Arabidopsis thaliana: one gene and its partner. The protein of the gene in region 2 interacts with the protein of the main gene of each other region in a biochemical or structural test. Each region holds a gene or a part of one and is shown on either strand. Other genes may lie near its edges.

What was found.
Region 1: the proteins of BIR1 (region 2) and BON1 form a complex in vitro, tested with the Arabidopsis thaliana proteins (one study listed by BioGRID).

What each region holds. Positions count from the first base shown.
Region 1 is NC_003076.8:24,855,051-24,861,447, forward strand, and holds BON1 (Calcium-dependent phospholipid-binding Copine family protein), read right to left. Parts: upstream 4,292-6,397; 5' UTR 4,249-4,291; intron 4,223-4,248; exon of another isoform or gene 4,145-4,222; coding exon of another isoform or gene 4,101-4,144; coding exon 3,948-4,100; intron 3,785-3,947; coding exon 3,737-3,784; intron 3,651-3,736; coding exon 3,502-3,650; intron 3,420-3,501; coding exon 3,371-3,419; intron 3,297-3,370; coding exon 3,240-3,296; intron 3,099-3,239; coding exon 2,913-3,098; intron 2,820-2,912; coding exon 2,685-2,819; intron 2,576-2,684; coding exon 2,514-2,575; intron 2,423-2,513; coding exon 2,329-2,422; intron 2,247-2,328; coding exon 2,132-2,246; intron 2,009-2,131; coding exon 1,932-2,008; intron 1,848-1,931; coding exon 1,710-1,847; intron 1,612-1,709; coding exon 1,447-1,611; intron 1,360-1,446; coding exon 1,246-1,359; intron 1,154-1,245; coding exon 1,057-1,153; intron 956-1,056; coding exon 858-955; 3' UTR 611-857; downstream 1-610. Other genes in the region: AT5G61910 (DCD (Development and Cell Death) domain protein), read right to left, coding at 858-955, 1,057-1,153, 1,246-1,359, 1,447-1,611, 1,710-1,847, 1,932-2,008, 2,132-2,246, 2,329-2,422 and 11 more. UniProt on the Arabidopsis thaliana protein: Negative regulator of cell death and defense responses. Negative regulator of several R genes, including SNC1. May have effects in promoting growth and development.
Region 2 is NC_003076.8:19,603,452-19,609,049, forward strand, and holds BIR1 (BAK1-interacting receptor-like kinase 1), read right to left. Parts: upstream 3,697-5,598; 5' UTR 3,297-3,696; intron 3,168-3,296; 5' UTR 3,082-3,167; coding exon 2,242-3,081; intron 2,156-2,241; coding exon 1,133-2,155; 3' UTR 638-1,132; downstream 1-637. Other genes in the region: TGG3 (thioglucoside glucosidase 3), read right to left, coding at 105-161, 285-432.

The DNA of each region.
Region 1 (6,397 bases), 5.3 Mb from region 2:
ATCCACAGCCAGTTTGACTAACTTGATCGATCATGTGTGTACTGCGTTGGTGTTAGGTTCAACTACCACTTCCCTAACCAGCTGTTTATTTATGTTTATGATCAAAATTTCTCTAAACTGTAGCTTTACTGTTAAATGTATTTGGTCTTCACTTTGGACACCCTCATCTAAATCTTAGATCACATGTGATACCTAACTATTCATTTATTTGACGGAAAATTTATAGTGTGATCAATAGCCATTTGTTCACGTTTTCAACATTTTGATAACATAATTTTATTATTTTCAATTATCCGCAAATAATGCAATATTCATTAAGAAAAAAAAATCATTGTTTTAGTTTTTAAGAAATGATTCTGATATATATGATACACATGTTTAAAAATATATTAAATTAACAAAATAACAACTATAAAAAAAAAATCTACAAAAAATTGTTTTTGGGAATTCTATGGTTATTATCAGTCTCTTACATAATTGATATAACAGTCTTTACCTTTTACTTTTTGGACACTTTCTCCATATGTCAAATCATTAGTTGAAAATGCAAAACAATATTCATCTGTAACTTGAATGTTTTTTTTTTTGTTGGACGTTCACTATTCTCTATCAATAGAAGAAATTAAGCTGCACAAAACAGATATCTTCAAATTCCAAGTATTGATGTAAAAGAAATCAAGACAAATGTGTACATCAGCCTCTTCATTCGAAACTTACATCCCACATTCAGACATTTTTATTATAAAAATGGAAAAAGCTTATGTAATCGCGCAAAACGACAGCGATTTTTAACCGCCGCAGTGGTTTATGTAATGTATAATATGTACACACTTCATTTACACACGAGACGAGATCATTCATGGAGGAATCGGTTTCATATTACGGATTCTCATATACGTCAAAAACTGCGAAGGCAATTCTGCTAGAAGCGCTTGTACCACTGAGATCTCTCCATCTACAAAACCCACACACAACACATTAAAACTCACCAAACCAAGAACTAGCGTTCTCATGCGTTTCCCTAAAGTTTCACTCTAAGAATCAAATAAAACTCACATTGGACATCTCGTAGTGCCACAAACTGAACAATGTCTCGTGAAGCCAATCGCCCGCTCGAACTCTCCAATCTTTCTCCTTTATCTGCGTCTAGTATCTAAAAACCCCCACCAAAACAAAAAAAAAGTACAGTTTACACAAGATCATATGTAGTTGTAAATCTTAAATGTCTTATTTTTTATTTGTTACCTCCATCTCTTTAAAATCAGCTCCTCCAACTCCTACAATGAGGATTGATAAGGGCAAATCCGATGCACTGACTAATGCGTCTTTTGTTTCTTGAAGATCAGTTATAACACCATCCTGAAACAAGAGTTTATGATTTATGTAAACAATGTTTGATTTGTTATTTTATGTGATCTTGGCTTTTCTTTTTATATATATACTCACTGTTATGATCAGTAAGACGTAATATTTCCGTGAACCTTGAGCTAGCGACGCGCTGGCGATCATTGCAGCAGCGTTGATCACTGGACCAAAAAGGGTAGGCCCTGCAAGAGAGACGTTGAAAAGGGCACTGGTGTATGAAGTCATGATTCCTTGAATCCCATCCACCTGAGAGAGAGAGAGAGAAAAAAAAAAGATACTTTTGATGTGTCAATCCAAAAACATCAAAATTTAGTCTTAAAGACCAGCGAGTCGAGTTTGTTTACCTCAGAGTATGAACTGCTTCCATTTAGATTAAAGCAATGTGAAACTGGAGCGTCGATTGGACGAGCTCCGAATCCCCAGGCAGGGAAACGTTTGTCTGAGTCATAAAACTGCAACACTTCTCCAACATCCATTATTGCCTGAGTTAAAAGAAGAGATCATGAAGGTTTGTTAGTCACAGTCGATGCTAGTTACAAGAAAATGGAATAACACTGAGTCCTCACTCTCTGGTAGGCATTTAATCGTCCAGAAGGATCAATGTAGTGCAAAGAATCAGGGAGGCGGGGATTTCCATTTGAAGCTGAAGGACAAAAGAAATGTAGAGATGTTTAGATTATATCCTTTTTGCATGATGTATACGTAACAACAACATTACATACCCAATCAAAGTTTTTAGGATTTTCCACAGTGGTGCAATACATACCTGTGAAATCGATTGCTACCATAAAGTTTAACTCAAATCCAGATGCCAAGTACTCTAGGAATGTGTGGTGGACAGTCTCGGTAAACTTGTCCACAAAAAGTTGGCTCTTTAACACCTAAAATGACCATAAATGGTATTAGATAGCTTATTGAAAAAGGCATGAAAATGTTAGGAGACCTTTTCGTATTGGTTTATACCTTGTTTTGTCCAGCACCAGTAGGCAAAGAAAAATTGATTCCTTGGCCCGCCAAATGAAGTTTTTCTAAGTCTGAAAGCGATTTCTGAACTTTCCTGACCACCCAAAATAAACGAGTAATTATGTCAGCTAACAGCTAAAGTCACTCCAAAAAGAAGATGGACTGAGCTCTAAGCTGTTGATTACCCAATCAGACTGTGTTTGCCATTGGAGTTAAAGTCTGAGCATTCTATTATCACTGGACTGTCCTGCATTATTACATTCTATGAATCAACTTGCATCTCGAACAGAGAAACATACTTTCTAATCATTCAGTTACATATTACTGGAAGCTCACATATACGAAATCTCCCGTACCTTACTTCCCACTTGTTGAACACTAAGAAAGACTGGCTTCCAAATAGGGTTAAGATCATTCTTCCGGACTTCAGTTTTAGACACGGGAATTGGAGTTCCATGCTCTACAATCTTTGATACCACCAAAAAGGGGTCCTAAAGTTGAGCCACAACAAAAAAAAAGTGTTATATTGATGTCAGAACTAGAATTTTATTAAAATGGTAAAGAGAATAAACAACAAAACTTACACTTTTTGAAAAAAGATCCTTAGATTCCAAATTCGAACATCTAAATACTATCTCTGTTGAAATCTTAGAAGCAAGGGACTCCTCAGCATGGATGATAAGCTTTCCGTGGTGAGGCTGAGCCTGTGGAGCAAAGCCATCTTTGCGCTTGAGTTCTAATGTGCTCGTCCTAGTTGATTTTGTGATTATCTGCGTGGTTGAAAAGTTAAATATAAAGTATTCTCTCTCTCTCTCTCTTATAAGCTAGGCAATAAAACAAAATTTCTGATGTGCCTCTCAGAGAACCAGCAAAAACAAGTGCACATATATTGTCAATGTCAAAAATGATACCTCAGACAATGCACATGTTGCCTCACCAAGAAACTGCTGTTCGTCAAGCTTAAGCATCTGAAAAGTATTAACATATTGAGAAAAGTGAACATCAGATCAAATGAAAATGCAGGCAGTAAATAAACAATTACCTCCTCTCTTGAATTTTGAAATTTGGTGTCAACATCATACACACGAAACCTGAGTATAAAGAAACCAACACAAAGAGTCAGGTAAAGGTTCATCTCTTTCCTCAAGTCACACAAGATAATAAGAAACTTACACCAATGTCTGCACAGTCTCGAAATGATAAGCGACTATAAATTTCTTAATCCATTTCGGAGCTAAAGAGTTCAAAACAACTTCACTGCGGAAAACTTCTGAAAGTGTTGCATCTTTTTCTTTTTGATATACAACAACCATAGGATCACTCTGCAAAAAAACAAAAAACAAAAAGTTTGTCATTAACTAAAATGACCAGCTATGAAGACTAATTCAATTTTGAATAACAAAGTAACCTTGGAGAGCACGTCGCGGTCTCGCAAATTCGAAGCTGAAAACGATAGCTGCATCAACAAAAAACAGTATCAAACATGAATCCTCAGAATATACAGGGAAAATCGAATTTCGCAGTTTTCTTCTTTCAAACGAAGCACACACATATCATTGTTAAACGTTTTTTGGCGGAAGTAGAGAAAAAACACGAGAGATAGATGATAGTGAAGGAACCTCTATCTGCGAGAAGAGTCCGTTGAAACCTTTGGACTTGAGATAGTAATCAAGGGCGTCGTTAGTCGCACCGAGAGCGGCGGAGGAACCACTTCCACCAACGCCGGCTGTAGCACCAGCACCGGAGGCGACATCGGAGCAACAATTCCCCATAATTTTTGATTTCCCAACAAAAAAAACTGCGGATTCAAAAGTACCTGGATCGAACAACAGAGACAAACATTTTTTTGTGAGGAATTTCGGAAGAAGAAGAAGATTCAGAAGAAAATGATAATCTGGGAGAGCAGTAAATGGGACCCACTTGTCTAAGTCGCGCTTTTTCTTTTCTTTTAATTGACTCGCTCTGTTTTACAGCGTCTCCTTCTTATATAGGTTTTTTTTGTTTGTTTTCATTTGATTAATATTGACTTACGAAATATCCAAGAAACGTTAAGCTGTTTTCTGAGAAATTCGCTCTCTTTTTTTTTTTTGTATTTATTGTAGTAAACGACGTGTTGGTCAATATCAGATTAACCTCAGACATATTTAATTAGAGCAATTAACTTCTGTGACATAATCTTTCCAGCTTACAATATCAGAATATTGTTATCGATTATAATTGTTATATCAAATACATATTATCTATGAAATCCTTTATAATATTTTATATGACAAACAGTTGGTCTTTAATAATTTTATTTGCAATGCACTAATAGTATATATATAATTCTTTTTGCCAACTGGATCTGTGATGCTTTTAGCGAAGAATTGTAATAATTTTTTTATTATTATTATTTACATGAAATTTGAGAAATTTTCAGACGAGTACAAGTCGTTGTTGCTATGGGGACATAAAGTGAGCAATAGGAAATAGTGAGAGAGTTTCACGTGAGAACATTTTACAAAGATAATTAGTAGTTTATTACCATGGAGGTCATACTTTGTTTATCTTTAACACAAATCGTAAGGTTCACACAACTCAGAAATTTTGTAGAAAAAAATCCCACAGATCATATCAGTAAATGATGATAGATGGGGACTATAACTTTCAAAAAGTGGATAAAGATAATATAATAGACATCTATTGAAAGAAGCCAACGTTAACTCCAAATTTATCAGGAAAATTTGCATTTTTCAATTCCAATTAAAAAGACCTCGAGACAATTCAGAGAGTTGGATCTGATCATGTTTTTCCCAATTTCAGTATTTTTTCCTTCGTCAATAATATTTTGATGATCTGTGACACAACCAACAAAGCTGTAAACATACGGGACCCTTGACCCAAAAAAAAAGAAACAAGAGGGCAAGACCAGAGCCTTAAGTAAATTCTGTAGCAAACAAAACAAAGTAGGTGGAAAGAGTGAGATAGGTGTCTTTTAAAATCTTTTTTATTGGAGAAGAAAGAAATAGATAAAAAGTTTTTTTGAAAGAGAAAGAGAAAAAACAAAGAACATGTGAATTGCAGTGCAAGTGCTCAAACATACATAGTGGGAGACTTAGGAGTCTTTTCTTTTCTTTTTTGTCTACCAATAGATATGGCTTAGGGTTTAGGCCACTTAATCTTAGAGCCAATAAGCATATTCTTGGTCCCTAGGTTTCGTTTGAGAGAGTGTTTAAGATGAACCTTTTTGAAGGTAGTATTCTTAATAGCAAATCCCAAGTATTAAACATGACCATACTAAAAGAAATGTTTTAGCATAAGTAATGATAACAGAGTTATAATATGTTTTATTAACTTTAAATCCCAATCAGAATTGCATTTCAGATTGCACTCCTGAAACGGGACTTAAAGAAGTTTTGATGGTTTGAGGAATTTCCTCATGCGCAGCTCAGAAATGAATATGATCAAACCGTAACATAGAACTTTTAAACTTACAGTAAACGGAGCTGGAGACTCTAGTTTTATGTCCTTGACCTTCTTTTCCACTGAGTGCACCAGTTCGAGTCCATGCTTCCGCACCCATCACGCACAAGTTTCTCAGATCCTGCAATACCAATGCAAATAGGTTTTCAGCAAATCGTTTCTCACCTGAACCGAAACAATGCTTTAAATACACGAGACTTAACAGAATCCTCTTTGGCATACCAGAGTAGCAACACTTTGCTTTAACGTTTTAAGATGTTTGATAATACGTTGTGGTTGCATCTGCTGTCTGAGGGTAATAAGACTGATGCACTGCATTCCAATCTCCTGTTGCAGAATATGCCTGGTTTGCAGCATTACAATCAGTTGTCCCAGGAGCCCTTGGTACAGAACCTTGCGTCACACCTTGTTGACTGTATACAACAGCGTGAGCATGGTATTGCGGCATGTAGCCAACAGCTTGAGCATGTGGTTGCATTGTGTATTCAACAGCTTGAGCATGTGGTTGCAAAGCATACCCAGTTGCGGCAGCATGGGGTTGCTGAGCGTACCCGGTAGCTGCAGCATGGAGTTGCAGAGCATACCCAGTAGCTACAGCATGGAGTTG
Region 2 (5,598 bases):
TAGCGTACAAAGACATTACTATGAATGTATAGAGAGATAACGTACCGACACTTCTCTCGTATAAATATGTAAGCCTTTATATATCAACCATGCAAACGACAAACCTGGATATCGGTGAGTGAAGCCATCCCAAACGTTAAGGCCACGGCCTTTTCCACCTTCTATCTGAAGTGAAACAAAACAACCATGCAACGTTGGAATTTAGTGTTAGTGAATTGTTTTTTACGTCAAAATTGGGAGAATATGTGATCTGTTGCATGCCTGGTAAGCAGAAGATGCAACACCGAAGATGAAGTCATCATCGAAATGTTTTCTGTTGAAACGATCAGTTTGGTTACATGTGAATGGCTTGGTCTCTTCGCACGTAATCTCTTCAGCTTTGCAAGTCTCCACTGCTAATAGAAGAACTAAGCCGAGTGCACGAAACTTCATGGTTAATCGGTACATGTATGTTTTCATTCAGCTGCATGGAAACCTAATGCGGTCTCAATTAAACTTTAAAAGAAGAAGTTTTTGTAGAAAATTTAATCTTTGCTTTGTATATTTGTTTTGGTGTCCTTAAATAGAAATTTTACATCAAGGAGCTAACGAAATGGAATCATGGATTCCTATAAAATTGGAAGTGAAAAGGTGATGTAAGAACACTTGTTAATTCTTCTATTATTGTCGACGAGAATTAAGCAAAAAAAAAAGAAAACCAAGAATTGACTAAGTCTAGTTATTTTGAATTTGGTATTCTTGACCCAATCATTCGTCATTGCAATATATTTGTGGTTTGTCCAATTTCGGACAGAGTTTCGTTGAAATCTCCATAGTCAGTGGGTCCAAATCGAGCACATAGTTAGTCTTCAAAGATATCCCACGTGATGACTGTATTCTCCTCAACCAAATTAGTGCTGCAAAATATAAGGCAGCAAAGACGTAGTGGCAAAACCAAAACAGTGACTGTACCACACACCCAAAGCTTAGTACATAGTAATAAGAGAGTGCATCTAACAATATATCATATTACAACACACCATCGACGACGAGAACCCAAAAATAAAATAAAAACAATACTTATACATTATATATATCTTTGGACTGCTACGACTAGAGATGTTTGTTTCACAATTCTTACCCTTCCTCTTGATCAACGAGCAACTATGAGCTCTTCAATGAAATCGCCTTCACCTGATTCAGATGGGATTAAGATATCATCATCGGCGGTGAAGTTGTAGCTCTCTCCAATGGCTCTTAGAAGCTGATAAACTTCAAACATGGTTGGCCTCTGCTTTGCTATTTCCGGTAGAACGCAGTTGCATGCTACTTTGAGTACTTTGAAGATTTCATCATCCACACCGTTCCCAAGTAAGGACCTGTCGATTGCTTCCTGCAGTTTTGATTCACTTGATAGCTTTGTAATCCATTCCACGAGGTTACCCTTGAAGTTTTCTTCCTCAGCTTTTTCTTCAGATACTTTTGTTACACTCGTTGCTTTTTGGCCCGTTACTAGCTCTAGAAGCACAACACCGAAGCTGTAGACATCTCCTTTTGGAGTTGCAACCATGGTTCTTGAATACTCGGGAGCAACATAACCGAAATCCCCAAATTCTCCATTGACGAATGTGCTTAAATGGGTATCAATTGGGTTCATCAGCCTAGCTAGACCGAAATCCGAGATCTTTGGCTCAAACTCTGCAGTCAACAATATGCATTTCGAGCTTATGTTGCGATGGATGATTCTCGGGTTGCAGCTATGATGAAGCCATGCCAATCCTTTTGCCGTCCCAATCGCGATTTTCAGCCTTGAAGGCCAATCCAAGGGCTTGAAGGATTCTTCATCTGCAGGATGTAACTGATCATAAAGGTAACCGTTTGCCATGTACTCATACATTAGAAGCCTCTCCTTATTGGCAACACAATAGCCCAAGAGAGGGACTAAGTTTCTGTTTTTAACAGAGCCCAAAGTCTTCATCTCTGCATCAAACTCTTTCTCAGAGCGTTGAGAATCCTGCAACCTCTTTATCATAAGTAGAGACCCGTCTTCAAGCCTACCTTTGTACATAGTTCCTGTTCTTCCTGTTGCAATGATATTATCTTTCTTGAATTCCTCTGTTGCCTTCATAAGATCGCTTAATTTCATCTTTGAAACCGATTTCTTAAACATGAAAACCTGAACATTCACAAAAGCACCAAACATATATCATAAATTTAGAACATAACCACATACAGCAAAATTCAAATCAATGATGTTTTTACCTTAACACCTTTCTGTCCTTTCAAGCTCTTTGCCCATCTGTTTCCTTCAGGATCATCCTGCTTCTTCCGAACAGCACCCAATTTACGGAAATAGAAGAACAAAACAACCCCAACGACTAATGCTGCTGCAGTCAGTCCACCAACTGCCGCTATAATAACAACTTTACCACGAGAGCTAGAAGCACTCTTACAGTCATCTAGAGGCTTACCACACAGATCCAGGTTATTAGCAAACAATTCCTGCTTAAACTGCAAGGTTTGGTTGAAATTTGGGATAGGACCAACGAGACGATTGTCAGACACAGAGAATGTTTTGAGCCGTCCAAGTTGCGCTAGCTGGGGAGGAAGAGTACCCGTGAACTGGTTATGCTGAAGCATAAGAGTGTTCAAAAAGGTAATGTTGGAGATCAACATAGGGATTTCACCAGAGAAGCTATTGTAGGAGAGGTCTAGAATCGTAACAAGTGGAATCAAGGTGCTAATGTTGGCTGGTAAAGGTCCAGAGAAGTTGTTTCTAGAAAGATCTAAACCAGTGAGATCAGCACATAGCTTAACCGCAGGAGGAAACACTCCTCTAAGACCATAACCAGATAGCTTAATACTCAAAACCCTATTCTCATCATCATGCCAACAAGTCACACCACTGAACTTGCAGATATAACCAGCAGTCTCGTTGCCAAAAACCCAAGTCGATAAATATCTATTTGGATCCTCTACTTGAGATTTAAAGGTCCTTAAGCAATCTATGTTGGCCTGATCCGCGTCAACCAAGCTCGAGAGTAGCAGCAAACAGAGACAATTATAGAGCCAGATTACAAAAACTAACCTACCCATCATCATAAATCCACTAAATTCCACAAAATGTGTAAAATCTCTATGAACTACAGCAACAAAATCAAGGGTTCTCTTCGATGAGCATCAAAATCCTGTAAGCAAATAAAAAAAAATCAAAACTTTATTAGCAACAACGAAAATTGGATTATCGCCAGCGAATCAAAAAGACTAAAGCGATCTTTAAAATTGAAGTTGACTTAGAAAAATTTACAACAACTTACGAATCAAAATCAGAAACACAAAACGAAAGCTTTGGTCTTTGTAGTCGTCGTTGTCGTGGTGGTGGTGCTCTTGTTCATAAGTGTTGAAGAGCACAATGAAGAAGGAGAAGAAAATCGCATCTGTGGCTAAGTGGTTATGAATGATGATGATGATGATGATGAAGAAAGGAGTTGGGAATAATTTAATAAAGGAGTCGTCTTTGTGAGTGAGTTGACTGGGACTTTGGATCGTCGTCGTCGTCTAGTGAAAGTTCGTGAAGAATGGGGCAAAGAAAAGAGAGACACTGATGATGAGAACGCAATGACTCCCAACAAAAACCAAATCGGTCTTTGCGCGTTAAATGTTTTTTTTTTCTTTCTTCTCTTTTTGACTTTTCAACATCATCATATATATTATCTTGTTTGTTAGGAGATGGACAAATTTTTCTTCCATTTGGTATTTTTCGCTTTTCATTCGTTTTTAGATAATTCTGGATATTTTGTAAATGGTTTTGGTGTTTTGACCAAATCAAAGAATGGAATATGACATTTACAAGAAATGTTTTCTTGGTATTAGTTTTTGACAAATACCAATGCATAATAATTTGTATCACAAAAATTGAATATCATGTCACATATTTAAATACTTATTAGGAGTAGTACTTATTTTGTTGTTGTTGGAATCTTTAAATTATGGGTTGACAGTTATATATATATATATATATATAAAAAGCTTGTTCATTTAGCAGATGTACCCGCCAACCACGGTTCAGCAAACACCCCAAAATGTTAATTCGTGTTGTTTATGTATTGTCAGTTTGTAACATAACGATTTTAGAAATTTTACAGAGTGTTTATATACAGAGACTCTAATACCATGTAGACTAAGAGTATATCGAATATATGAAACAAGATGATTACAGAGTGTTTATATACAAAGACTAGAAAGCTACTGAAGGAAACTTAATATTGTATACAATGATTATGAGCAATTAACGTGATTGACGATATTGATTCTCTTCATTATCTTGATTGATATGATTATCCTTGATAGTCAGTTTGTAACATAACGATTTTAGAGAGGAGATAAACCACGAATCACAACCTCTAGTCTCTCCCAAGCCAAATCCGCCATTCGTGACCTGAACCAACTTCGAAATTCATTTGATATTTGTAATGTTTTGTACCAAATCATTCACCATATATAATACAATTGTAGAATTCCAACAATTTGGGAAGTTGTAAGATTTATTTACTCTTGGTTTAGTCTTTCCTCTTTGACAAATACCAATGTATAACCAAACTATATTTTCATTGTTGCTCTTATTAAGAAAACAATCATATATAAATTTTGCATTCAAAAAAATTAGACACATAGTTTCATCCTTGGAGACAATTTATATGATCGAAACATCCGATGAAGAATATCAGTCTATGAAAGATTGTGCAATCTAGTTTTTTCCCCATTATAACATAGCCTTAAGCATGAAGCCAAAGCTTCGTCAACAGGTTAAAAAGATTGGGTGTTTGGTAAAAAAAGTTAAGGAATTTAAAGAGTGATTGATACACATAGATGGTGAATATACCAATTAATAGAAAAAAAGGAGGAAAGAGTAAATTACAAGTTCCCGGCAGTTTCAGACAAACTCACGTGACGCAAACTTTAAAGGGTTTGACTAGAGCCACATAAGCTGTCTGGTCCGAACCAGATATGATAGTGAAGAACGAGCCATTAAACCACACCAGTCTCTCTCACGTGCCAACTAAGTAAAATTGGGTGTGCTTAATAAAGTGTCTGTTATAAATCGCTTTGCTTCCTTTTATTTTGCCTCTCTTCTACTTTCCTCTTTCCTTTTTAGGGATTTCACTTTCCTCTTCTCTCTCTCTCTCTCTCTGCCTAACCTCGATTTCTCTCGATCGCTCTTCACCATGGATCTACGATCATGTGGTCCTTCTTGAAGTTTTTTGATCTCTTCTTCTTACGGGTTTTTACTTCGTTTGATTTTCCTGGTAAAGTTGCTTTTTTTTTATCTTCTCTTGAGGTATATACTTTTTTTTTGTTTTGAGTTCATGTTCGTGTTCTCTTCACTGTAGCTAGGGTTTGTTGATTTCTCCACAATATAGCTCAAAATTTCTGCTATGACCTTGAATTTTGGTCGTGAAGTTTGTTTATGTGATGGATTAAGCTGGGATTTCATAGAATCACTGAATCAGCTTGCTTGTTTCTACTCTCATTTCGTCATCTACTCTTCTCTTAATCTGTATTTGTATTATTTCAGCTAATTTTTTTATAAGTACGTCTGATTAGTTCTTGAGGTTGAAT